Linked DNA regions of Oreochromis niloticus. The protein of the gene in region 2 interacts with the protein of the main gene of each other region in a pairwise test. Links are inferred from orthologs where the notes say so. Each region holds a gene or a part of one and is shown on either strand. Other genes may lie near its edges. The genes, in order: meox2a, ccnc, nmnat1 and ndufv2.

What was found.
Region 1: the proteins of ccnc (region 2) and meox2a interact in binary tests that used the Homo sapiens proteins (3 or more experiments, as listed by UniProt). The two-hybrid records come from large-scale screens. The link is inferred for Oreochromis niloticus from reciprocal best matches to the Homo sapiens genes CCNC and MEOX2.
Region 3: the proteins of ccnc (region 2) and nmnat1 interact in binary tests that used the Homo sapiens proteins (3 or more experiments, as listed by UniProt). The two-hybrid records come from large-scale screens. The link is inferred for Oreochromis niloticus from reciprocal best matches to the Homo sapiens genes CCNC and NMNAT1.
Region 4: the proteins of ccnc (region 2) and ndufv2 interact in binary tests that used the Homo sapiens proteins (3 or more experiments, as listed by UniProt). The link is inferred for Oreochromis niloticus from reciprocal best matches to the Homo sapiens genes CCNC and NDUFV2.

What each region holds. Positions count from the first base shown.
Region 1 is NC_031976.2:32,487,958-32,495,357, reverse strand, and holds the start of meox2a (homeobox protein MOX-2), read right to left. Parts: upstream 3,002-7,400; 5' UTR 2,501-3,001; coding exon 1,948-2,500; intron 1-1,947. UniProt on the Homo sapiens protein: Mesodermal transcription factor that plays a key role in somitogenesis and somitogenesis and limb muscle differentiation. Required during limb development for normal appendicular muscle formation and for the normal regulation of myogenic genes.
Region 2 is NC_031980.2:6,953,178-6,960,225, reverse strand, and holds the start of ccnc (cyclin-C), read right to left. Parts: upstream 3,006-7,048; 5' UTR 2,782-3,005; coding exon 2,721-2,781; intron 2,038-2,720; coding exon 1,857-2,037; intron 1-1,856. Other genes in the region: pgm3 (phosphoacetylglucosamine mutase), read right to left, coding at 6,047-6,136, 6,260-6,433, 6,676-6,798, 6,883-7,002. UniProt on the Homo sapiens protein: Component of the Mediator complex, a coactivator involved in regulated gene transcription of nearly all RNA polymerase II-dependent genes.
Region 3 is NC_031984.2:22,077,637-22,084,814, forward strand, and holds the start of nmnat1 (nicotinamide/nicotinic acid mononucleotide adenylyltransferase 1), read left to right. Parts: upstream 1-4,171; 5' UTR 4,172-4,308; exon of another isoform or gene 4,309-4,330; intron 4,331-4,709; 5' UTR 4,710-4,723; coding exon 4,724-4,838; intron 4,839-6,025; coding exon 6,026-6,209; intron 6,210-7,178. Other genes in the region: protein LZIC, read right to left, coding at 1,580-1,635, 1,718-1,799, 1,959-2,054, 3,068-3,166, 3,291-3,426, 3,599-3,699.
Region 4 is NC_031982.2:24,772,329-24,779,423, reverse strand, and holds the start of ndufv2 (NADH dehydrogenase [ubiquinone] flavoprotein 2, mitochondrial), read left to right. Parts: upstream 1-4,086; 5' UTR 4,087-4,208; coding exon 4,209-4,250; intron 4,251-6,039; coding exon 6,040-6,093; intron 6,094-7,095. Other genes in the region: acss2l (acyl-CoA synthetase short chain family member 2 like), read right to left, coding at 125-228, 393-484, 2,023-2,218, 2,371-2,494.

The DNA.
Region 1 (7,400 bases), on a different chromosome or scaffold from region 2:
AGTTTCTCGTCCAGATGGTGAAACCTAATCAGAGCTCTATCTCATGCAACAGGCAGTGCTCTGATATTTAGACAGCTGACTGAGTCAGCAGCCTAGTTAGCCCCAATAATCAGCGTGATTGGTGTTAGCGTTGGGAGAATGCGCTGCACATGTAATGAGTATGCAGTGACTATTGTTGCAGAGGAAGTGGGATCTGGAGGCAAGGGCTCAGTTTTCCAGTGATTTGACAAAAGAGGAAAGGGAGTAGGAGGTAGAGTGATGAATTAATGGGTTAAATGTACTATTTCAACATTTTGCATGTGGACAACTGGACATTTAGTGCAAAGGAAAATAAAATGTTGAAATCTGTCATTTTATGTTGTAAAATGGCAAATATTTCAGTTCACTTATGGAGTTTCTAATAATCACCACGGAATTTGGATTGAAAGCTAAATTAGTGCCAGTGGTGTTTTTGTTTTGTGTTATTATTTAAAGTCAGTCTAAAGTTAATCCTGTTATATTTCCCTAACTTTTGGTATATAAACTTGTTGTCAGCTACAGCAACACCCAACCAGTCAGAGGGGGAAGAAACACACTCTCCAAGTATCCTGTGGAGATGTGGGAATATCACCGGTCAACTGCAGATGATGCACTGCGAGTACAGAGACCTTATCCAAAGGGTGCAGGATTAGCAATGACAGGCTGAAATCCTCAAATGGACACAAACTGGCAAGCAGACTTTCTATGAGAAACTCTCACTGATATCACTTTGCTAGTGAGATTTCTTGCGACTCGACCCCGGCCATTTATCATCGTGTGACTGATTATTGTGGTGCCTGCAGGTTGCAAAGGTTTTGCAGGTCATCAGCTGCTTTATTATCAATTTAAATATAGTATTAAAAAGGTGTTTATTTATTAATGATTTGTGAGAAGTGTGCTTTTTATAATTATCTGTGGTTTTGAATTTTTAAATACATTTGTATGAATGAGGCCCGATTCAAGAGCAATTAAATGATTATACATGCATAATTTATGGGTGATTTTTGGGAGAATCACAAATGTAAAATTTAACAAGAAGGTGTGTTAAAGCTCACTGCCCTCGGGAGCTTTACTGTCCTGAACAACTGCCTGTAGATAAAAATAAAGGAAACTTGTAATGGTCTTTTAAATTTTGTAGGAATTAAGTGGCGTGTTTTTTTTGTGATAATAAGATCATTTAAAATAAATGAAAAAAGGTCAAATATTAATATGATTAGCTACATACATTTTGTAACAGTAGTAAGTTCCCTATCTAAACTTGGCCTTTGTTAAACATGACACTACAAATACTTCCCAGTCTTTCATTTTACTTCAGTAAACCTGAGATTTCTTTTAACTGCAGTTTTTAGTAAATGAAAACAATTTGCGTCCGCCCGGTTGTTTAGTGTGCCATGAGGCACCGGTGTAGTCTTTTACAATCCATGACATTAATTCTTTACTGCCCTCTTTATTCTCAGCTCTCTAAAAAGTGTTGCAACAAACCAGATGTGATTTTTAAACAAAACATGCCAGTAGTCAGATGTGCCTGCACACTTATGATGTGGCCTTTGCTCCACGCTTCAGTCCGCCTGTCGCCTCCCGCCTTGCTGCGTGTCAGCCGGCACCTACAAACCGCTTTCCAGACGTTTTTTTGTTTTTGTATCAGAGCTGCAGAATTCCCAACAGTTGTGCTGTTGAATGATTTAGAGTGATGTGTACAGATGTTTCTGTTATTCTTGAGCTCTGTGTGGAATTTCTTAAATGCTGATATTTATGTTAAAATGTTTATCCAAGTAAAATAATGAACAAAGACATTTTAGAAATGCCTCCAAAGTATTTTACATGAAGTCTCGGGTTGTGCAATGTGTCAGCTTTAAAAAACACACGAATGAAATCTCTGCCTTCAGAACTGCTTCACTTATCGCTTCGGAAAATCCCAGCTTCTCTTACCTGAACTGTCACTTTTCCTCTTGCCGTTTCTCTTCTCGGCCTCAGCAGGTGACAAAGTCTGTCTGCCAAAGTCTGCAGGCACACAAGAGGCCCCTGTAGGGGTGCTGCCACTGCCTAGACTGGGGGTGCTGGCGCACATACTGGGCCCACCGGGGTGGCCCAGGTCTGAAGGCGTGGGCCCATTGTCGTGAGATGAGTGGGAGTGTGGGTGGCAAAGGCTGTGGCGAGTACTGCTGCCAGGTGACGGCATCTGCGGGATATGCCAAGATGTATGGTGCTGAGGTGGGTGGTGATGCTGCTGGGAGGGCAGGTGGCCGCGGTGAGGGTGGTGGTGGTGCTGCCCAGGAAACAGGCTGTCGTCACCCGGGTAGCTGGAGATGATACAGGGCGAGGGTGAGGAGGTAGAGGAGGAGGACGACGAAGAGGCCAGGTCAGGGTAGGAGACATGGTCCGAGCGTCCGTGAAGCGCCAGAGGAGACTGGGTGAAGGCGGGATGCAGGGCCTGCGCCGGGGCGTGGGGGCTCCGCAGGCAGCCGAACAGTGTGTGATCCATTGTGTGCAAACACACACACGGCCCTCCGGGAAAGGTGAGAAGGGCAAGCGTAAGAGGCAATGTTACTAAATCAACCAAAATCAGAAAGATCACAAGCGCATATCCAAGATGCTTCCCTTTCTTCCTTGACTATCCCAAAACTTTTCTCTTCAGTTAGGAAAAAATGGTCAGAGCAGCAAGTAAAATGTGTTTTGAAATGGGTGTCCTGTGGTAATCCAGAGCATGCGGCCAGTTGCCAGGCTGTACAGGATAAACAGTTAGCCCAGGACAAGCTGCAGCTGAGCCTCTCAGATGTCAGGAGGAACACGGGACTGGAGCTCGAGGCTGGGAGCAGAAGGAGGTTCCTAGGAACTGCAGAACGAGGGGAGCCAGCGCAGGGGATGTTATAAATAGGGTGTAACGTGAGAGGGAGGCTGGGTCATAGACTGCATACGCGCTACTGACCACATACATATGATCACCCTCCAAAAAGCACAGCATAATAAATCTGTACTATTAAAATGGCTGAGCCTCAGGAAAGAAGGCAATTTATTTTGGACTTGGATCTGACCTCGGGTGGCCATCTTTTTTTCCTACAAGAAAACAGCCTTAATGGTTCATGGGTGGGGCTGGGGGAGGGAGAGGGAGGTCGTATGAGGGGAAGGGAGAGAGTGTGAAGAGAGAGCGAAGGAGAGGTGTCAGAGGTTAACTCAGCGTGTCACCCCATCTTTGTCAAAAGTTGGTGGTAGCGGGCAAGGATGCTTGTAGCGTCCATTAAAGGTCACTTTAAGCCATCACTATCACGATCATGTGATGTTAAGAGAGCTATTTTGTCACTGCAACGCAGACTTGCAACTTATTGGAAACAAATATTTTGGAACCAAACTTTTCATAAGTGAAAGGAAGGCTAACGTTTTGCCCATGCTAGACTTAGAATGACCACGGTTCCTTTTTAATGTAGTGTAACCAATCATTTTGTGAATGTGACTTTTTTTGGAAATGGTGTTTATCTCATTTTGAAATGAAACACATCATTAAACCGATATGGATACATTTCGACTTTTGATACGAGGTCGTGAAGGTCACAAATCTGCTTCCTGAAATAACAAACTTTATTCCACTATTTTTTATCACCAATAATTGCTGTGGCAAATGTGGAAATGCTATTTTATACAATTGTAGATGCCAACACATTGTTTTTATATAAACTATGCCTGTAACAATTTCTATTTATATATATATATATAAATTAAATATTAGTATGTGGAGCGTATTCGTGTGTAGAGAAGGAAATGAACAGAAGGAAAGTTGTTCATAAATTTTTTGCTCCTAACATTAGTGTCTCTCTTTAAATTTGTTTGGCTATAAAAGAAAAGTCATTCTTTGTGAGAAGTAGGGGGAAAATAGCAGCTGGGAAACAGCTGTGAATGTGTCACTGGTTTCTCTTATTTTCTCTAATTATTCATATCCAGAGCTCAACTAAAGCTCAAATAAAATCAAATAAAATTCATTTATTTTTCTCCTGTCAACCTCATTTAAGACAGAAAGTCTTGGAAGAAAAAGATGAGACATAATAATGATTTGTAGCTGTATGGTATTGACCTAATGGGGGAATTATAAAAATCTGGTTCTATACAATTACATTTTCTTAGTCACGTAATTTAAAATGTAACACTTTGTGTGATATTGATGGTTCATATAATAGAATTAAATTGTAACTTAAGTGTTTTACATTTTCGGTGAAATACAGATGAATGATCGTCTGATAGATATCTCCTTTCCTTCCTATTTCTGTTTTCTAAAATTCAAAAGCACACTTGCACACTGCCCGCAGTATGAAATAAAAGAATACACAGGATAAATTAAATCAATATAATCTATAAAACAAAATTAAAAGTCAAAGCTGCTTCAGAGCTTTCATGGCTCGGCCAGGTTTTAGAGGGAGACGGTCACGATGACTCCACACTCTAGGGATCCAGTCAGGCTGTGCCATGGGGCTCTGTGAGCCGCCTGAGAAAGGAAATTAATTCCTCTTTGAGGGAAAATTACTTTAACAGATAGCATGGCGGAGGCAGGCTGTAACTTTGCCGCTGTCGCTCCCCCCCAGTCCCTCCAAAGCCTCTGAAGGCAGCAGAGGCAGCGCAGCAGAGGAAAGGCACCTTAGGTGAGTGAGTGTCAAACTCTTCTACTGTTTATCTTACAAATTAAGGCTATTAGCAGGTTAGCCCAGGCTATATATTTGCTCAGGGCCTTGAGCAGGTATTACTACACACGTGTTTCCAATCCTATTGCTGGTCTCGCTACACCGATGGCCTGTGGCGTGGGTGTTTTCAGTCGGTCCGAGTCTTTGGCCCTTGTGAGCTTTATGAGGCAAAATGTTCTTGTGTGTGAATAAGTGAGAGAGTGTTGGTGTGTAAAATAGGGATACATTCATAGTTAAAGCCGACATCTTTTATTGTTAAAAAAATGAAGGATCAAAGAGTCTTATTGCCCTCATAAAAGCAATTAAATATTTTACACATTTTATATATTTAATTAGCTTCTCTTTTTTATAAATTAAATGTAATCCCTGACACTGGTTACATTTTGTGCCTTTAAGAGCGCCTAACCCTAAAAGTAAACGTCATTAGTTTGTATTCAGTGAAGATATTTAGTGTCACATGATGGTGTAAATGCATTTTCAAATGTGTTCGAACTCTGAAATTTTAAAAAACCCAACAACTCTTATTTGGAAATAAGAATGATGATATTCTGAATACTGGCACAAACCGTGGTGCTGTAAATCCACCGCTACCTGTGTTGGCCTCCAAAAGCACACATTTGTCTGACTTTTTATGTGATGACATGTGACATGACGTTTTAAGGCGAGTGTGTGTGTAAAGCATAAAAAGTTCAAAAGAAGAGGCTACCAAGAGGCTGTGTTTGCGATGATCTTAAAGCGGGGCTCGGGGCAGCATGTTTTCTCTGCAGTACACAGAAACTGAAGGTAAAAGACCTGCTGCTCAACCTGTGGCTGTCAGTCAGTCCCACAGGCAGGACACATTACAGCAACCACAGCTCAGTGCCACCGTCACCAAAACAAACATGCAGCTACCACTTTACTCCTTTTCTTATACTAATTTAAAGAGTGTGTGATGGTGTTTAAAGTTAACATCGTCATTTGCTGCTAAATTACCAAACTTTGTCTAATTGCTGAAATTTTACCAGCCAGCAACAGTGAAAGTTCTGGCTTTTGCTGAAATGTAAAACAGTGAAAAAGTATATCTGCCTTTCTTTAACATGTTATTAAAATTTCTAAGGGTTCTTTCTTTTTTTTCTTTTCTTTTTTTTCTTGTAGGCAAAACACAAAAGAGAGCAAAAATTAGAAGAAAAGAATAGAAGGAAGCTGTGTAGTTGGATTTAAAAGCCCCTGAGAGCTTGGAAGGAAAAAATCTTACCTGGAAACGCAATAGGCCAATACAGAGGTACTACACAGATAAGCACACAAGCAATGATATGATCAAAAGCAAACAGAGCAAACAAAAATCCAACAGAGGCATAAAAGAAATAATGTGTTGAAAGTGTGTTGTATGCATTAAAGAAATGAAAAAATGAGAGAAGGGTAACGGTATGTTTTCATATTTCCTTTATTTAGCATGTAAATGAGCCTTATATGGCACCTGGCAGTGAACAAAGATGTTAATATATTTGTTAATATGTAACAAATATGTTATTATGGGGCTCACGTTCAAACACAAATTAGAAAAACACAGATGTAATAATGTAAAATATCTTTTTTAGGAGAAGTTATAATTGCTGCCTTTATGTCCACATGCAGCAACTTTAGAGTGTGTTACAAAACACTATATATTTATATACTGCATTTAAAAAGAAATCTGCTGGCACACCAGCTTACCAGACTTTATGATAAAACTAAATCCTTTCAGTTATTCTTGCTGCCACTTGCTGCACTCACATTCCCAAATTTAACGGGCCCGGATGTGTAATATGCTTCACTACAGAAAAGCTTTGATGCCGGCTCTCTCGGCTTCAGAGTCTAATATGAGCATTTAAAAAGGCCCAGTGTGTGTGTAATCAGTATTAAACTTTTTCCTCTTGTTTTAGTCTCCGGCTAATATGGAAACATTTCAGAGTGTATAACACTCAGTGAGCCTCTAAAGCGTGCAGCGAAGTACGGACGTGATAACCGAAGTGTCTTTGTAAATAAGTAGAAACCTGCAGAAGGTAGAACACTGATTTCTCCTTACCCAAGATGGAGTGAGTACAGTGATTTTTATTTAAAAATAAATTTTATTATTATCCCTTTTAATAAAAATTGCAAGCAAACGTGTTGGAAGACAAGCAATTTTCACGATTGTCATCAATAGAAAATCCCTTTCAAATTAGTAGCAGCAAGTAGTTTTTCCTCATTTTTGTCAGGCTCCGTAACTTGAACATATTTTTAGGACTCAGATTCTTAATAAGGAGGCAATACTTAAATGTGCTACAGCTTCGTTGACAAATACCATATCACACTGAGCTGATTTTGTGAGTAATAACAGAACAGGGACAGTGGCTGTGTCGGGATGAATGTATGCGGGTGGTGTGGAAACTGTCGTCGCTGCTCATTTCCTTTCAAGCTTCAGCCGCAGATTTACAGCAGTTGTCAGGAATATTGTCCGTATGCAGGATCGCGGGATGTCAGTGATATATGATGAAGAGAGACAGTAAAAGTTGTCTCCGTTTACAGCTCAACTGCATAAAGAGAACGGCAGCCCTCTCAGGGAGTGACAGTAAGACAGCATAAAGAAAAAATTGTGACGGCTTTAAAATCATTTTGTCATTTTCAATCGGACTAACTCTGGCTTGAGATGGGAAAAATACATTTGTGTTTTTACTCACATGAGATTCGACGCATTTCTGTTTACATGATAGGGAAAGA
Region 2 (7,048 bases):
GATTTCTGTTGAGAGTCTAGAAGAAATGCTGATTAAACAGTACAACCATGACTTAGTGAAAGATCAGAGAAGCAGACTGAAATATCAAGAGGGGGATCTGTGTTTCATGGATATTGTTAGTAGCTCAATAAAACTTATTGGAAATTATTATCACATTGATTTGCCTTTCAGAAGAGAAAGTCCCAGCTTACCAAATAACCTCTGTGTGGCGAAGTAGCATCCCCAGAGTCTCAGACTGAGATTTGAAAAGGATGCTTGCTGTAAGGATGAATATACTGCATGTGTAAACAAAATGCTTAAACAAGGATATGCTGAATTTGTGCCTGCAGATGAGTTGCAGAAAAGTGATGAAAAGGTGTGGTACATTCCTCATCATGGAGTGCATCATCCCAAAGGGCAAGGAGAGTTTTATTTGACTGGAACAACTTATAAAAAGGAGCATCACTGAACAGTCAGCTTCTACAGGGACCTGATCTCAGAAACTCACTGGTTGGAGTTCTGATCAGATTTAGACCAGAGTCTGTTGCTCCGTTTCCTGTGGTGGCAATATGGTGACACTACAAGGCCTGCACAGGAATACAGGATGAAAGTACATTTGTTTGGAACAGCATCTTCACCAAGCTGTGCAAATTATGCTCTACAGAGAACTGCAGATGAGAATGCACAGCAATTTCCAGCTGAAGTGGTTGATCCAGTCAAAAGAAACTTTTATGTGGATGACTGTTTGAAATCTGTTGCTTCTGAAGAGGAGGCAGTGCACATGGTGAAGCAACCCCGAAAAACACACACACACACACACACACACACACACACACACACACACACACACACGATTTTGACTGTTTCTTATAGACTTTTACTCACTGAAACCGGAAAAAATATTTTTAAAAATTCCATCGTGTCAGGTTGTCTTGCAAAAGTCATGTTTAGTGCAATTAACTGTACAATTTCCCCTTTTAAGCTGAAATCTGGCATCCTACTTGAGTCAAAGTAGGATGATTTCTTACATGAATTTAATATTTCTAAACGCAAGACTGAAGAGAAATACAAATAGAAAATGCTCAGACGATCATGTCCGGTTTCATGTCCAGGTTTATTTTGTTCATAATGAAAGGCAAGGAATCTTAGGAAAATTATGCCTAGGTAATTGTAATAAAATATTTCTTTCATCGCTGTTGTGCTTTTTGTAAACTCCTCGTGCAAAAAAAAAAAACAAAAACACAAAAACAAATAAACTGTACATGATGGATTGAGCACCCTAAAAAAAAAAAAAAAAAAAAAACAACCACACAACACACACAGACTTTACCAAACATTATTTTGCAGGCCTGTGTAATTTGTGTGCCTTTGATGTAGAGCACCTGATTATGCTGTAAACAGTTTTAAATGGTGATGAAAAACAGCTGAGACATTGGCTGCATTTTTAGGTAAATCGTTGCATTTCAGTTTGTAGGTTTTTAAAGTTTAAATTAAAATAAACTAAAGTTATGAAAAGGAGTCGTTAAACCCGCTTGTGGTTTTTGACTGTTAAAAAATAAATAAATAAATAAATAAAAACTCAGATTAATTGTGTTAATGCATTATGTCAAAATGAAAAATAATCACTTTAAATTCAGACATGTGAGGTTGTGCCAAAAAGAATGATACCAGACAAGGCCAGATAAACGCAACACACACACGGAGGTAAAATCAAAAGTAATCCAAAACCGGCCAATTATACACTGGACCCCAGAGGGTCCAATGGTTTATCGTTTGGCAGGAAACAACGAAACATAGGGGGAGTTTCACTGTGCAGGATTTTCTGAAATGGAGCCTAAGGCGGGGACTGTGTGATATGATAGCGGAGTTTGCCTTACTTGATTCGCAGCAACGGAGAGGAGGGAGTCGGCCGTTTGCAGGCAACAGAGGAATATTCCAGAGCTGAGTAATCAATGGCAGAGAACTGGAGAGCAGGCAAGTGAGTTCCGGTTCTCTCTTTTGCAGGAGTAGAGAGAATGAAGTATGAACGTGGAGGTAGCAGTGTATGGAACACATAACCTAATGGAGACAAATCAGGTGAGTACGGAGACAGAGGAATGAACCAAGGTGCTGTTACTAGGGAGATGATAACAGAGTTACACAGGGAAATCACAGGAGAAAACAAGGTAACAAATGTGATTTACCGCCATAGATGAGCAGATGATCTGGTGAAAAATGACCATCCCCAATGCGCCTAAAAGCTGCTGCACTTTAAATATCTTTATAAACCTATTGTTATATGCGTTGTAATTTCTGCTATCGTCTTGGCCAGACTACTCTTAAAAAGACTTAAATGCCAATTACACTATTTATCTAGTTTACAAAGGATTTATAAAAGTGCCAAAAACTTTGCAGCTTCTTCCTTGCGATAGGAATGTTGTTTGTGGCTCAAGATTACTTGATATCTTGTATCGTTTTTGTTAGGACTGATGGTCACAGGCTTGCTACGGTTTGTCATTTCCCTTCATCAAGACCAGGTATTTAAGGAGCACCTGTGGCAGAAGTTCTCTGCCTGAACATTTTTCCTCTACAGCGGTAACTCAGCCAACCTTCGTGTAATTTAATCCAGCAAAAGTAACCACAGTTTCCCTGGCAGTCCTCCTTGTGTTTCCTGAAGTTCAGTCTTCGAGTTGACCCTTCCTCTGGAAAACATGGAGAACCAGCAATGGTCGGACTCACACTTCACCTAGATATCTGCTTACCTTGTAATGCTGAGGATTGGATCCGTTCGCCCTCCACGACACTAAGCCTAAGGCTGCTCATCTTTAGTCAGCCACCTCCTTTGCCCCCACTCACACAAGTCAGCTTCTACTACAGTGGGTGGGGTAACTGCAGAGTTACTGTAGTTTAGCATTCTCTTCTTTTTTAAATTTAACTTACTTTCTAATGTGACCGTTTATTTCAGCTTAGTTTTTGTTTGAATTGCTTTCATTTAGTTTCTATTAGTGTCACTGTTAGTTTACTTCAATATATGCATACTTGCATGAACAGTTCAGCAAAGCCCCAAACACCGCACAGGCTCATCTGGGATTTGAACCCAGTACCTCTCACACCCAACGTGAGAATCATGGCCCTAAACCAACAAGCCACAAAAAAAAAAAAAGAAAAAAAAAAAAGATTTTTAACAAAATTCATATTTCCCAACTGCTAGGAGAAGAAGGCATGAAAGATTGTCTTAAATGCTCAGAAATAATATCAAGTCCATTTGATAGTAGTCTATTTTTCTTCATCCCAAATTAACTGCTTTGTGTTTTGTTCTTAGACTCTAGAGTAGCTTTGAAGGACTCTTTTGGAGAGACAAAAGGCTGCCCTCAACAAAGAGACACTCATTTAAACCACTTTAAGATCAGAATTATTACAGAAAAGTTAAAGAAAATACAGATGCAAAAAAGTACAATGATGCACATAACAAATAGAAAAATAAAATGACTGAAAATAAAATTTGCAGTTGCTCTCTTTCTTAACACCGTTTTCATGAAACTAAACAGAAATGAACTCATAAGCTTCATTTTCTCAGCTCTGAGTGCACAGTGAGTGACTTCTCTCTGCTGAATTTGCAACAAATATAACTGTTAGTGTGTTTGAACCATTCAGGCATTACTATATGTGCTCTTAAAACCACTAATTCGCGCTGAATGTGGGTTTCACCGAAGTAAACAGTCTGAATCTTTGTATACATAGAGCATTGTTAGTAGATCACATCATAATAATTTGTCTCACTTAGTGAAAATGTCTCATAACACATCTTATTTTCTTAGTGCGATATAATTTCACATAAAATTGTCACAGAACTAAGAATAACAAAATAACCTGAGCATGGTGAGCAGAGGGAAGGAACAGGAAACCAGGAGGCAGGAGAAACGCGAAGGCAACATGAAGGAATGACACACAAAAACAGACCGACAAGGAACAGAAGGAAACACACACCATAAATACACACAAGTAAAGAGGGAAATACGCAACAGGAGGGAGACACAGCTGAACCTAATAAGACATGACGAGGCAGGGAGGAAGCAAAACACAGTACATTGACACTGGATACAGACTTTCAAAGTAAAACAGGAAACACACAAAGGCAGAGACAAGGATGACAAGGAAGACACAGAGAACACAGGCTGTGTCCCAATTTAGGGGCTGCATCCTTCGGAGGACCGGACCTTCGCGGTCCACGTGGGCCGGGTCCTCCGAAGACCAAGAAGGCCGGAAGTGCAAGGCTTGTGAAATGGGACGCTGCTCAGGTTGCCTAGCAACCATGATACAACCATGATAAAAACGCTTCATGCAGCATTGTTTGACAGAAATGAGGGAGACTTTTTTTTGTTCATCTCTTTGTTTTTATATGAGCTTTGTTTGATTTGATAAGTATCTGAGGCTGAGACAACGGGACTGTAAAAACATGATTGTTGGGCTTCATTTCTGTACGGAACAGTAATTTTAAGATTAGCTATTAAATAACAATTAGCTAATGTTGTTCATCAGACTAAAGTCATCTCACTTTGGTAATGTTACTATAATATGGCCAATATTAAATTTATTATTATATTAATCATTATTAGTTATTACAGCAGTGAGTTTAAACTCTGTTTCAAATACTGAGCTTCAGTAAAGATTCAATTTGTAGTTATTTATATTTATAGTATATATAATAGTATATATATATAAATATTTATATGTATATGTACAAGTATTATATATAAGAGACAAATATTGTTCTTTTAATATGTTGGCATTACTAAATTTGTCTGAATGTTTACATATATGTGTGAAAAGAAAATGTACGAGCTGTGAGAACTGTTTCTGATAAAATGAAGAGTACACTGATATATTAAATGTGCCTTCATAGGATGAGAAAATCATACCATGTCATAACTGCTTTAAGTGATACAGAATAGATATCAGAGCCTTAAACAGGCCGACTTCTGGTAAATGGGTCAAACTGGGCAGAAAGTATACAAACACATAGCATCCTCATAGAATATGATGTAACACTATAGATCAACTTACCTCAAAATATATAAAGTATATAAACAATTACAGCAATATGATGCAACTAACACAGCAGTAATACTAATCCAAAATACTCAAAGCTTCATAGAACTGAAAAAAACTGACATTTATTTTTAGGTACATTCTGCTACTGATACATACTTTAGGTTTCTGAATAGTAAACTTGTTAGTGCCTTTCATAGTGTTTAACTTGAAGGTCCTGAGTACTTACTCCCACTTTGAAAACACTTGAATGATAAAATTATTTTAACATTACCTAATAAGACTGATTCAGGACAGATAATTAGTTATTTTAAACTTTTCTGTTAGTCCTTCACACAGAGGGAACAGTCTGTCAGCTGGTGCCGACTCTTCTTCAGACACTGCTGAGTTTGTCCTGGTGGATCATCAGGGGTGCAGTCTCACAGATCATCTGCAGCAGTGGGTCCCTCAGTCTGTCCTGACTCTGGACACTTACAGTTGTCACACATGGAAATCAAATGTGTGATAACCTGCATGTATTTATAAGTTACAAGTGTAACTTATAAATACATGTTTTATTATCCAGAATGTTGCAAACATAGTTGTGGTTTTCATTTCAATCATAGAATTCTATCAGTGTTACTTCACTGTAATTAAAAAAACCCCCACTCTCCTCTTTATCCATTATTTAATTCAAATAATAGCAGCAAAGCCGATTCAACAGTCGTTATGTAAACTTACATGATTTAATGAAAATGAAGGGAATTATTTAAAATAACTGCTCACAAATATCTGGGACCAAGTGAAATGACAACCCTCTTTAAAACCAGTTGTTTGACTGTTTGAATTTTATGTATACACACACACAACTCCCCCAACCTTTATTAATTCCCCTAATGTGTACCCCATCATCAGAGTGACAGTAATACAAGGAAAATAAAGACAATATAAAATCATTTGGTATCACCTGACTTCAACAAAATAAAAATAAAAATAAAATAATGATCAGCAATTCTGTAATTCTGATTGATCAATATGGTGTGTTTGTGTGATTGTGCTTCTAATGCAATGGTTTGGGTTCATCCCCAACTCCTCCAGCAAGGCGATACACAGCAAGGCTGACTTCGTGTGCCAGGGCGTCAGCACTCTCCTGAAACAACACAGAGAGCCAGAGTATTATTCACAAAACAATTCCCTTCCAGATATTTTTTAACCTCAGTAACACTGCCATGAGAATCAATAACAGAGAAAGCTTGGAAAATAGATTTCTCACCTGCGTGTCTGCCTCTGCGTATACTCTCACCACATCCTCGGTGCCGGAGGGCCTCACGAAGGAGCGAGCCTGTCTGTACTTCTTTACTAAATTGTCGATGGCCTCCTGCAGGCCTGCTGGGGTCACCGCCCGCCTCTCTGCATCTGTTGTGTCTATCACCCTGCGGTCCGCCACCTACAGAAAAAAAGAAAAAGAAAAAAGATCACCCTCAGGAGCCACTATCTCTAACTGGCTTGAAGTAGACACAGACACTCTACTATGTGCAGGGTTACAGTACACAAATGTTTATCTAACAAAATAAAAGCCTCCTTAGTTTGGGTCGGCACTGCTGTAAATTAAATGTAAAGTGCTGTATTTCTTTCTATCACTCACACTTTATATCCTGGATATAATACATAACTATACAATATGAGCACCTTGACTTTAAGTTGCCTGTTTGGCAGGTCGGTATAGATGGTGTCCCACTGCTGGATAGTCATCCCTTTGATGGCTAGTATGGCTTCAATCAGCAGCATGTCAGAAATGGCATCTCCTACAGTCTTTAAAAGAAAATATCGACGTTAACAACAGAGCTCCGGTGTCTGCATGAGCTCAGTTCAACACGGATGTCAGTGTGAGCGTGCCTGGTTGATGACGTTGATCGTGTTTCGCAGCAGGAGAGCTGCTTTCTTCCTCTTGTCGTTGACGTTTGTGTCCTCGGCCAGCTGCTGGATTTTCTCTTCAGCTGCCTTGCTGAACAACACCTGATCCAAACACAAACAAACACAGGACGACACATTACTTCTGATT
Region 3 (7,178 bases), on a different chromosome or scaffold from region 2:
AACAGCAGGTGGGTGGGCCTCCTGTGCTGAGAGCATATTTATGATACCCACTCTCAGTGACATCATACAGAGCCAAGATTTGAAAAATGTCTGAAGTGAACCTTGAGAGCAGTTTGAAGCCAAATCTTTAGGCACTCCGGGACGACTTGAATGTTTGCCGATCTCATTATTTCAGACTTTGGCCGTGTTTAAAATGAGCAGCCATGACTGTAACAGTGAACACACTGATGAGATACTTTATTAGACTTAACCTGCTAGTATCAAGTTGGACCCTCCTTGCCTTCAGAACTACCTTAATTCTTTGTGGCAAAGATTCAAGACGGATACACGGTGGTCATAAAGTGATGGACATGGCCTGCAGTAATACTCAGGTAAGCTGTGGTGTTTATTCGATGCCCAAAATGTTTGAAGACAACAACCATGACACTTTCAAAGTCACTTTAAATCTGCATTTTGGTACTCTGTTTGACCATGCCAACATGCATTAAGTTGCTGCAATGTGATTGGCTGATAAAATATTAATGCTGATGAGCAGCTGAACAGGTGTACATAGTGGCAGGTGAGTGTACATGGCGGGAAATAAAACACGAAGCCTGTTGTTAGTTTTCTTTTTACTCACATTAAAAGTAGCAAGAATATCAAGATTAATGCTGTAAACATTGTGACATTCACTTCTACACAGACTCTGATGCGAGTTTAAAAACTATCAAACTTCATCACTGTCAATATGAAACTACAGTCATCAGTTTGAATTACATGATAATAAATGCATAGAGGACTCATTAAAATAATGGAAACACCCAAGTGACACTGAATAGTGGTAAAGCCTCTCAATTCATTACTTCATCCTGTAAAATCTTTGTATTTTCTCTGTATTTTCTCCATGAACAGACTGAAGACCCACACTATTAATAAAACTTTATGATTCTCATATTCTTGGACGACGGCTGCTCTAATCCACCCTGCAGACTCAGCACATTTCAACTAAACTGGTCAAAGACTCGTCAAGTTTTACTAAAGATATCATCAGACTCTACATCCCATCGGCACACAAGTGGTTTACAAATGTATTCATATATAAATGCAATTGTAAATTGGTTATAGTGTACATATTAATCGAGGCAGATCCGATCATCTGAAGCGCTGTAGTTCTGACACATGCAGTGTTTCTATTATTTTATCCAGAGTCCTGCAGACGGCACAGTTCTAGCTGAAATAAAACTACACCCTGAAGGAAATCAGCATCATAAAAACAGCACTGTTGAATGTTGAATATTGAAATTTTGGAATAAAGAATCACTGCACAAACCACAAGATCATAATAACAAACTGTCTGCGCCGTCCTCTACATTCACGCGCCTTTTAACAAATCACACGCTCGTACCTAAAATACATTTTTACACTTTATCTGGACGATTAAAAGACATTTACAAAGATTGACGTGTACATATAAAACAATACTGTTAAAAAGTGTCAGCGTCTGCAGTAGCACTTAAAAGCGCACTGATTGTTTAGAAAATCCATAATTGGATGGCACATTTTTGTCTTAGTTAAAAACACACTTTTTTTTGCAGAACTGCTATGACTTTGTTTTCACACCAGAGCTAGCTAAAGCCATTATTTTGTCTTCAGACCCTGAAAAAAGGAAGGCAAAATGAGGTCAACAGAAATATGTGAGAAAATATCTGTCTTGTAGTAAAATCACCTTTATGCTCACCTTGGTTTGCAGTCACTTTTTCAAACTGGCTCAGGGTCGCTGTGGCGTTTTCAGTGAGGAAAGTCTCGTCTTCTGGGGTGAGCTGTCACGTAATTACAACATGAGTGAAAGGAAACATTTGAGGCATTTCGAGGCAGCTAGTGAGGGCTGCATGACTGAAATGAATCAGTTCAGACTTTACGTGGCACAAGCCGCTGAATCATCCTAGACTCTAATCATGTGTGCTCTGAGTGCTCCTCACCTTCTCCCCCAGTTTTCTCAAGGCAGTGAGGATTTCCATTTTCTGCTGCGTGTACACGTCCCGTGACAGTTTTCCCACCATCACATCGCGGTCCATCTGCACAGTACGTCACACACCGGTTGGGAAATTGTCAGGCAAATGAATCTCCACATAAACACTGAGGTGTGACTGAACTCTGCTGTTGTGGTCAGAAATTTGCGTACAATCGTGGCAATTTGGGGCTTTTGATAATTTCTTTGAACTGTTCTTCCAGAGTGAAACAATTTCACAGCAAACATCTTTCATGATATTAAAAAAGAAGAATTTTAAAACAACGTTGAATTTTTGGGGGATTTCCTCCAATCCACACAGGCTGAAAATAATAGGCTCAAATATAGACATACGCTCACTTAAATCTTTTAATAAGTGGCGCTAAAGGTTCTACATGTCTTTTAACTTGAAAAAATTAAGTTCTACTAACTAAGCTGTTTTGCTGCCAGTGTCACTGGTACACTGTGCAAAGTGGATGAAATAATGAAGGATGAGGAATACCTCAATTCTTCAACTTCACCTCAAATGAACACAACACATGATCAGAACAATGATCCCAAATACACATCAGAACTGGTTTCAGTTTGGATAAAACAGGCTAACATTAAGCTTTTGGAATGACCTTCCCAAAGCCCCGACTCCATCCTTGTTGAAAATGTATGGACTGCGTTTAAAAGTCGTGTCTGCGCCAGGAAACCAACCAATTTAACTGGATTCTGCCAACACTGCCAAGAAGATCGGTTAAATATCCAGCAAGAAGTATGCCAGAAGATTGTTGATGTTATCCAAAAGTGGGGATGACAATTTAACCAAATATTAGTGGGGGTGTATGTTTATGTTTGAGCCTGTATGGTTTAGAGAAAATCCAAATTAAATTCAATCTTGTGCACACAATTCATGTTTTTTCAAGTCATTAAAGATAAAAAAGAAGTAATATAGAAAGTAAAAATGAAACATCAAAGAAATCATTAAATGCCCAAAATTAACATGATATTCATCCACATGGGTGGGTGTGTAAACTTCTTACCACACTCTGTGTGTGTGTGTGTATTATACAATATAAATTTGACATTGCAAACCTCTGCCAGTCTGCTTCTCAGCTGTCCTGGCTGCTTCTTAGCAAAAAGTCGTATCACCTCCGGGGTTTTGAAGGCTTGGCTGATGGCAGCTTGGATCGCCTGATGAAGACAGAAACATCTGAACGTTCTGATATTTTACTAATCATCAGTTTTCTTAATCAATGTGCTATAACATATTTAATGCACTCCTAATACACAGTAGTAGCACATTAATTGTCCATACCAGTTGCATCCCACTGAGTTCATCCACAAGTGTCATATCTCCTGACATTATTTTCTTTAAGGAGTCATTGAATTCACCCAGCTGCTCCAAAGTTTCCTTCTTTGTCTCTTCGTACTCTTCCTCATCCAGATCTTCTCTGGAATAAACAAATGAAGGAATGAAAACCGAGACACAACAGAAGAATAGAGAAGCATTTATTTACCCACTGTTTTTATTCTCTCTGTTATCCTTCAGGTACTGCATGCCAGATTTTCATATACAAAAAGCACACAGGAGGAGTTTATTGTTTTTCTTTTTCTGTACTACACCTGCATTCCTCCAGGTCCTGAAGCTGCTGCATTAGTCTGTCAAGTTGTTCCTCCATATTCTGCTTCAATTTTCCAGTTTCTGATTTCCCTCGAGAGGCCATCTTCAGTTAAAATCCTATTTTTTCTACGGGAACTGGGAGAACTGGCACCAAACAACAGATCACGTTAGGTTTTGTTGCTGAGGTACTTCACAGATAACTCAAAGATGACCTAACGTGCTATTTCCACTCGATGAGTGCAGAGCTGTTGGAGTCAGTGGAAAAATACATAACATTTTATCAGATCTAACAGTCTCTTTGGCGACTACACTGACAGGATAAATTTATCTGTGTGTTGGAAGTTCATGCAAACAGTCCAAGTTGTTTTGTTAGCTAAACAGCTAGAGTGCATGCTAAAAGAAAACACCTTACCGGGACTTTCTTTGTAAACAGCTGCAAATCAGCCTTAGTAGAATGTTAGCATTTGCTGAAGAGTTTGTCGTAAAGAAGGTGGCCGTACTAGAGGAAAATTTAAAAATTACTTAAAAACACGGCTATAATACGTTTACTATTAGTCGAGACGTTTGGGATTTGGGGAATTTGTGATTGTGAACGCAGCACCACCAGAGCGGGTGCGGTTCACCTCTTCCTGGTCTATTGTGTCCAATCAGATTAGGGGATCTTACAGCGTAGTCCGTGACGTCAAAACAGGAAGCGGGTGAAACACAAATGGTATCTGTGGCCGTTTCTCTTGGTACTACAATATTTGACATTATATTAAAAACGCATAATTTGTTTTTGAGTTAAGCACCGAGTTCATGCTTTGTCTGTTTAAGGGTCCTGTACGTGAATCTTTGATGGAAAAGGAGCTGTGTGCTCAATAGATAAGCTAAAGTTAGCTACTTGTTATAGTCGAATGCTAACGTTTAACGAAGATAAAGCGTCAAGCTTTAGTTTTCTTTACATTTGTAGTTAATTAGTTAATGAAGCTCACAGACTCTAACTTTAAACGAGGTTAAACTACTCTCTTGATACAAATATACCGTTTCCTCCCCCCCACAAAGCGATTCTTGACATGTGATCAGCCAAGTTTAATTTGTCTTCGTTTCTTCTCCTTGTTTGTGCAAACCCAGGTCCAGTATGAGCCATGGAGGGTCACAGTATAACCAAAGTGGTCCTGCTGGCCTGCGGGTCCTTCAACCCCATCACCAACATGCACATGAGGATGTTTGAACTGGCTCGAGATCACCTGGAAGACACAGGTTGAGTTACATGACAATTGGGTCTTTTATTGCGATGCATCTCCACCTTTATCAGTTATTCATTAATTTTTTCCCAAGTTTTGTGAACACCACAGATTTAATTCAGTTACCCTCCATGCTCTTCAACTGAGTTATTCTAAAGGCTAAAGTCTCAAATATTATCATCATGATTTAGTTAGTTAGATTTAGTTAGTTCTCTCTGGGTACTCCAGCTTTCTCCCTCAGTCACCCGACGTGGAGACATGCATGGGGTGATTCTAAAATTACTGTAGGTGTAAATGTGAGCATGAAGGGTTCTCAGTTTCTATATGTTAGCCCTGCAACAGACTGGCAATCTACCCAGGATGTACCCTCTTGCTTTATGACAGCAGGGATAAGCATCCAACCCCCAGCAATCCTGAAATGGATAAACAGAGGAAGATGGATGGACAGGCAAAAATTAAGTGAAATGGGTAGCTTTGTCTTAAAAAGGGATTGTGAATCAGTACATTGGAGAGACAAGTGTTTTGGATAAAATTGTTATACCTATAGTCTAGTTCAAGAAGGGATTATGCTTTTGTAAATTGATTAATATGACACTACAGAAAAGCTGGCAGTATTTTAATATTGCATTATTAATAGACACTATTAGGTTGTGCCTCATGTTTCATTTGGGAGTTTTATGCCAGATGCCCTTCCTGACCCAACCCCAACCCCCAACTTCTCTCCAGCTGGAATCACTTTGCATTTCACCACATATTTTGATTTGGCAGATCTTTACACTGGATGCCTTTGTGTCTCCTCCTGGGATCAAACCAGGGATCTTTTTGTTTGTTAGGCTAATGTGTAAACCACTACACTATCGAGCTACAACCAATTATTTATTCAGTAAATGCTGGTTTCTTTGATTCTGGATTCTGTTCTGCTCAGACAGTTTCCCATGTGTCATTTCTTGTCTACTCTACTGTTCTGTCCAATAAAGTCTAATAATTCATCTCAAAAATTAAAAGAAAATACATTATGCAGGAAAAACTGAACTTATTTCAAATACTATGCAAATTTTACACTTATTATTATATTTTGCAAACTTGTAATGACCTTTGTATATGTTTGTAGGAAAAGTACTAGTAATAACTAGTAATAATTGGGGTCAAATATAATATTTTACCTGACCAGTACTTAAACACATGTCTTCTTTTGTGCGTAAGGTCAGTATAAGGTGGTGAGAGGAATCATCTCTCCAGTGGGTGATGCATATAAGAAAAAGGGCTTGATTGAAGCCTGCCACCGTCTGGAGATGACCCGATTGGCTACCGAAAGCTCAGACTGGGTTATGGTGGATTCCTGGGAGAGTTTGCAGCCAGAGTGGGTGGAAACAGCTAAAGTAGTTCGGTGAGTTGGCATTTCTTGCGTCTGAGTGCTGGGAGTGCTTTTGTGTGGTGTATGTGGTTTGTCTTGAGACAAAAACTGTGTGACACTACCTGTGACCTTTACTGTTTTGTTATCTGTTGTTTTCTGATTCACCTTTATTACTGACTCACCCCAAGCTGCGCACTTCTTTCTCTATTATCTTAACATTATCACTGCAAGTAATAAACCTATTAAAATACTGATTTCCTAAACCTAAAGCATCTTTAAATGACATGTGATGTAGATAATTACTGGGAACCTTAATGGTAATTGATTTATGAATTCTTTAGATTTGGTTTGTGTGTGTGTGTGTTGCATCATGTAGTATGAACTATTTTTACACACAAAGCGTCAAACTCCCTGCAGTTACACTGGCTCACACACTGCTGAATGATAGACTCTGTATTTTTCAACACATGTCTTGAAACTTTTTATCCTTTTCTAGATAAATTAATTCTTAAAGTAACAAAATCCATTATGGAGGTTTGATTTAAACCTTAGGGATTAAAATTAAACTTGTGCAGGCTTAATTAGATATTAGATAATTAACATCATTATGCCTCACATAAATGAAATCATTATTTAGAATCTTTGTCATCTGTTTTCTCGTGGCAACAGGAAAAGGAAGAAATGCAAGTCAGGAAATGTGAGAGCCTTTACTGGTATGATACTTGATACATGTTATGATTTGCTGAATACTTCCCAGAACTTTGCAGGTGCAGTTCAAACAAGATAGAATCAGACAAAGTCAATCAAAATTCCATAATTATTTAAGGTGAAGGCTGAAATTATTAAATGCTGATGGTGTAAAGAATCTGAAATAGTATCCCAACTGCAGCCTCACAGACCTGAAGAAAAAACCCCCCATAAAAGGCACAAAAGCAGTTTAATAATAAGATCAAATGCGTTTAGCATAATGAGAATTGGATTTTGGAGCACTCATTTGCTGAC
Region 4 (7,095 bases), on a different chromosome or scaffold from region 2:
TCCTGTGAAGAATTTGAAAAAAAGATGAATACCCTAATTTAAAATTTTTTTGAACAGGAAAAAAAAAAGATTTTTCAGTTTTGTAAAATTGTTGCATATGGTGCAAAGTCATAATAGTACTTACCACAATAGAGTGAACAGCACCTATCCTGGCACAGGCCAGCATTGTGTACACAAGCTCTGGGATCATCGGTAGGTAGATAGACACTCTGTCTCCCTTTTTCACACCTTAATAAAAATATATATACATATAAAACAAGTTACTACCACTCTGTATCTCTGAAACTAAGTTTGTCAGCAAAATCTGTAAAGGTATACTTCTGTATTATAATCATGGACTAAATAATTATGGACTAATCATGGACTAAATGGCCATAATCTCAGGTTCTCACCCATTTGCTTCAGCACGTTAGCACAGCGGCAGACATGGCTCAGCAGCTGGCTGTAGGTGATGGCCATTTGATGATCAGGTGAGTTTCCCTCCCTGATAAGACAGCAAACAAGAGAGAAACTTTCAAATGTATAAATGTATTACAAAACCTGTCTGTGATTCTACAGAGGTCTCTTGGTCTGTTTTGGTAAACAATTGCACACAAAAGTACTTTCCCACTTTCCCCAACAGTGTTGTCCGGTGAGTTCTTTGAGTTCACAGTAGAGATAACCTGTTCCCGTTGTTGCTAAGTCTATATCAGGCTTGGATGTTTGTCAGGATAGTTATTTGGAAAACAATTTGGCACACTTGAAGGGGCAGCAGAAAGCATGGTACCAAGCCAAATGGGAATGATGAAATAAATGACTGCAGAGATGAAATTCTGCAACTGATAAATGACTTCAAGATGTGATAGAAAATGTTGTAACTCAGCTCTGTGTGAAATAGCCTGCATATATGTTGTCAAAGTCTTTATTTATTTTTTGGAAAATGTACAGCAGAGCAAACCAAATTCAGTCATGGCGTTCCGCAGGGGTCGATCATGAGACCTCTTTAATTCCAACATTTATATGACTCCACTTGCAAAAATATGAGATAATCAAATTTCCCATATTTAATCTATACTGATCTATACAAATACTATAGAAGCAGATTACTTTTATATTAATATGTGTTTATTTTTGATTTGTCGCTTAAACTTCTTTCACAGCCCCTGATTTTTGTTGAAATGGGACTCTTTGCAGCATTTTTGCTGTTCTATTTTTTTTTTTTTTTTTGGCATTGTTCTACCACTTTAGACAGTTGTGCAAATTATGCTTGGACAAAGCGTGAGCTAAGGTCCCATGAGTGATCGACTGTTGCTCAAAACAAACCATGTGGAAATTGATAACTTGTCACCACAGCTGATAGTTATAGTTTCCTTACAGAGTGTACTAAAATAGTCATGGCAAACACGTAAGCAGGTATATCATACAAGTGCTTTGTTTTAGTGTAAACAGCATTAATGCTCTCCTACAGGTGATTTCCAGTATGCCAAGTTCCACTGAACCCTTATATTGCTGAGCATGCAGAACAACCCTCCTGTTTGCTAAGCTTAAACAGTTGACAGAGCAAATAATAACTGTCATAATATAATGATAAAACATCATAAAGTAGAGGCTTTATTGTAATTTGACAAGGGCGCGGGGTGATCAGCACGCAACTGCAGGTTCAAATCATTTAAATGGCTTAAAATTTAAAGCTAGAATAAGTTTAAAAATGTAATGTGTGTACATTCATCTATCAAGTGAAGTTAGTTGCTCTAGTTAGACTTTTTGTAGTTGATTAATCAAATAGAAATAGAGTTTTGCATTATAAAAACAATAAGAAATTGTTAGACAGATAGTGTATAAAATCTGTAAACTGTTATCTTCTGCTTCTGACAGGAAGAAGAAGCACTGCTGTAGTGATGTGTGCTGCCTGTGGTTTGTTTTGGTGTTCTGGGGTCAGCACAGGGGACACAGCAGTTGTTTTTGACTGGAATACTTAGCATAACTCCAGACAGCGTTTCCCATCATAGCTATTATTTCCTCTGGGGGCATGCTGGTGCTTACCAGTAATAGGCAACCTTTTCACCAAGGCTCCCCTCCCTCACATGTCTGTCCAAGACATTATAGCACATGTTGGTTTTGGCCCCCTCCATGCATTTCACATAAATGCTCCCTTTCGTCACATCGAAGTTGTATTGCAGCACCGGCTCTGTTGCAGGCTTCTTCCAGAAGAACTCATCAGCAACCTCTTTCCAGAAAGCTAAAACAGAGGATACTTTTGATCAATGTTATGGGATGCAGATAAGGCAGATTAGCACAAAGAGATACTGCATGCAGACAGGCTCAAAGGGATATGAATGGCAAGGAAGCACTGCAAGCGCTGCACTAAAAATACAGACAAGTTTGACCTACCTTCTGGATTCTCCAGAGACTTTTGGTACAATGCCAGATATGAGTTAAAGTCGGGCACATGAGCATCCTTCTGCAGGTCATTAAGAGGGTAGTACATTTTGTCCTGAGACTCAGGAACAACCATTTTGGAAGTACAGATGCAGACAGGCCTATATCATCTGAGAGTGAGTCAGAAAATGGTATAATCTGAGTCCCTGCTGGTCTGTCTGAATCCTCCTGGGTGAGGTAAGAACACTACAAGGCCTGTACTGAACCAACACAATTCAGCATGCAGAAAGACCCACCCTAATCCCTGATCTGCAGGCTCTGGCTCAGTCTGCTTAGAGTCAGGGCAGCCAATCAGCTCATGGAGTGCAGCACTCCCACTTTTTCATTGGATGAGCCATCCCTGGCCTGCTGATCACATTATGTTTCTAAGCAAGTGGGTGGTGGAGGAGGACAAGGAGGCGGTATACCCCCAGCAGGATAAATGCTGGGGATTCAGGCAAACATTTATTTTGAAAGGAGGAGGCTGATGGGTGCTCTTGGTGAAAAGAAGAAAATAATAATAATAGAGACGTATGAAACAATTATTCACTTTCAGAGTAAACAAACAAACCCTGCCCAATCCCCAATGTATGTCTGCTATGAGAGACAGCTCCTGAATCCTTTTAACACTAACATTTCATAAAACTTAGTCTTTTAAAAAATACATTTCTTATAGAAAAGCTCACTGTAAAACCCCTGCTTCCAGCCTGCTTTGCTTTAATTCTCTGACATTGCAAACATTAAAAATAGCACAGTTAAAAAATACCCTTAGAGAAAAGAAAAAAATATTCCACTGACAAAACACATGTGAAAAACTTAAAAAACAAAAAAACAAATACAGAAATAATAAAAATATTTTATACTCGGTAGAAAATAAGTTATAACAATTTAACCTGAGACAAACTATTATTCGCAATTTTATAATGTCCGCTTCTACTTTCAGCTGCTCCCTTTAGGGGTCGCCACAGCGGATCATCTTCCTCTCACCCTATCCCTCCTATGTCACGTCAACATTCTCCCTGTCCTGTTTCACTGCATCCACGAATCGCTCTGCTGATGCAGTGATTTCCAGTCTTGTTAATCCTGGTCACTCCCAACGAGCATCTTCAACTCTGACACCTCCAGCTCTGCCTCCTGTCTTTTTGTTACAAGCACCGTCTTCAGATACTGCAGGTCTCACTACAGTCTTTTTCATTCGTGCACATGTGTTCTATTCTGACTATAATTCATTTTCCCTGGAGTGCATACCTCCACTTCTCCAGGCTTTTCCCACCTGCTACCAACTCTCACTACATCAGAATATACGAAGACTCCTGACCTCTGTCTGTCAACCTGTTCATCACCACAGCAAACAAAAAGAGGCTCAGAGAGATCCCAAAGGTAATCCCACTAAATTTATAGCAGTATTTTTACTGCAGTATGTTGTCTTTTTAATGAGCACTTTTATTAAAGTAATATTAGATATTAGTTAAAAGTTTCTTGTGAAGCATTTTGTATAATTTTGTTTGACCGTTTTTACTGCGTCTTTATTTCTTGTACTCTGTTATTCTGTTATCATATTTTAAATGAAAATGTTCAATATATATTTGCATAATTTTGTTTTTTGAATGTAGAAGAAATTTTCGCAAACATTCAACGTTGATTGACTTTGAGCTCCAACTTGAATCTGGGATCGATTCAGCGCAGAGACGTACAGACGTCACGTCGTGCTTCAGACAGTATGAATCGAACCTGAGCGCGCTTGTGTTGATGTCGGCTACCGCTGTCCCGTTCATTTCCTAACGCACCGGGACCAAACTTCAAGCGACAAGATGTTTCTGTCTGCTGCTGTTCGCTCTGCAGTGTCGCAGGCGGTACGGTTGTGATTTTTTTATGGTTCTGGGGAAAAGTTTGGGTGCAATTTTAGATAATTTGGAGAAAAAAATGCTATGACTCTTCACAAGGGCATGCAGTGGAGGCCGCTCAGCAAAATGACGTTGGGTAACACTAGCATGCTAGCTAAATTAGCTTTCTGCTGTCAAACTTTTAAAAGGCGATCGCTGGAAAAATGGGCAGCGAAAGGAAAACATACGCGTTAGAATGGGTTTTAGCAGGCTCGTTTACATGCAATTGGCTTTAACTTCACCCTATATAATTGCTTGCATGGCTACTGTAAATTCACAGTATGGCAAAACACAGCAATATGAATCACCTCATATTAATCTAGCTGGAAACTTGGATCAGATAACACTGTTTGCGATTTACATAAAATAATGATTTACATAAAAGTGGCTCTGCACAAGAATCGTGAAGTTGTTTTGTTTATAGTAACAGCTTGCGAAAGCTTTAGATCCGTTAAATATCAATTATACTGTGCAAAGTTTCTACTAGTAAAGTAGTAAAACTGCACATTTGTTACTGTACATGTACTTAAGCTATCCAAAGTAAAAGTATTCACTATGCAGAATGTCACATTTCACAGTCATACACATTACATCGTACTATCAGATCATAAATATTGATTATATAAGTATAATCAATCCAACATTGCAATTGGGGCTCATTTTAATTGTTTTGTATACAGCTCTGCAGCTTAAACTTTAATGATAAGGCATAATTTGTTACAAGATGTGTATTTAATATTATGGTGATGTAGAATTATTCGCAGCTTAAGATTTCAAGAAAATTCAGTAGTATAAATGTAGTACAGCAAGTAATTTCTAAATATAGTGGACTAGAAGTAGAAATCTATAGATTTGGGGTTATTTAGTTTTCGTAACTTCTTTCGGACCAGTGGGAAATGTTAAAATATACACTAAGAGGTTTATTTTACACAACTTTACCCACCTTTACGCTATTGTGTCATACTTTATGTAAATATGATTTTCCAATAAGCATTTTAGTGGCATTTTACACTTCACAGCTTTAGAGGAAGTTTTCTCAAAATATTTTTTTTCTAATACTAGAAAACAAAAATCTTAACTTTAGGCTCAAACCTTCCATTTTATTGCTGTCTGTATTTTAAAGATTTATTACTAGTATAGTTTTTACATTGAGCCAGTCAGTCAACAATTACCTACAGTCTTTAGTCTTGCAATCTTTGGATCATTGATGTGAGATTAATATTTTATTATGTCTAAGTGCATCAGTTCTGTTTAAAATATGACTTGAAGGAGTTTAATCTACAGACAAATAAGACATTTAGAAAACTAACAGATGATCTTAAATCACAATGTTAATTTGACATCTGCAGTTTCACCCCTTCCAGTTCCTGGTTCACTTCAAACTTTTTTACTCGAACACCTGTATTAATTTACCAAGGGCACACATAATTTGAAAATAAAATTAAAATAAAATAGAAATTAAGTTAACGTTTACTTCAATATTATCCTAGTTTTACATAAAAACCTCATGTTTTTGGTTGCACCACCTGATGTTTTGGGTTTTAGTTATCGCTGAACTAACACAACTTCAACTTAGGTCTTAAAGAATGAACTCCTGCAAGTCATGAATTGGATTCATTATTTTTAACATATGCTGTGCACTCAAAAGTATTGCATGTAAGTGACATGTTTGCTGCAAGAAATGTTGGCATTTGAGATCAGTTTGAATTTAGTTCCATGACATCACTAGGTATTTTACCTGTTTTCTTCTGTTTTGCAGGCCAGGAGTCTGCATCAGTCTGCTGTACGTGCTGGAGCTGGTGGCATTTTTGTGGTGAGTGGCACTTTCTGTTCCTCAGTGCACAAAATGTGTAGAAGGTGACAGACAAAAACAGAGAGTACATGCGGATGCTGTACAGGGTTTTTTTTATACTTTGTGTGAGCTCATCATGGTAGGTTACTACAGATCAGCAGCTCATGGAAAATTTTGTAAATTACAGCAACAATTTGTAGTCATTTCTAATATTATCTATATTACTACTAAGTTTAATTGTTACTGTTCATTTTTCAACTCAGTCAGTCTAGCTGTTACTATGTCACACTAACATTGTTTTTTTAAAGTTACACTGGGGCAGAAGTTCACTTACTTCTGCAATGTTTGTCTATTATTGAAAAATGAATTATTCATGTAAATACATTTTAGAAGGGTTAGGAAAAAGACTTGCCGATGGGCTTCATAAAACAGGATTAAACAGCAACACCATATCAGCTTTCTTTACTTGGTGTATGCATAAACAAATTTTCACAAGCATGGACTTTAATCATGAAACTTTTAGAAACTGTATTTGTCCTAGCCTTGTCTTATTTCAAAAGTGTATTCTGTCTTAGTGAGTGCTGCTCCAAAACCGGGGTTACACAGGTCACGGGAGATGTGGGAGTCCGATTTGCATGTAACAATTGAGGCAGAACGATGGTCGGAATAATGCCAGAAATGTTTAAATGTAACCATATCAGATACAGACTGACCCATTACAACATTCTCCATCAAACTTACATTACGCCACAAAAATTAAATAAATATAAACCAGTTTCCTCTTTGAGGAGCGTTTGTGTTTTTGCACAAAGGTAAAGGCATTCTGGCATGAATTTTCCAACATTACGTCAAAGGTTTTAGAGCTACTCTTTCCATTAGATCCTCAAATATGATTATTAGGGGATTTTAAAGGTTGGTACCCAATTACGAAAAAAGCCAACAGAAGTTCCTGGAACTGGCTCTATGTGTTGTTAGAAAGTGCATAACCATTATGTGGAAGTCTGACTTCCAACTACCTATTTT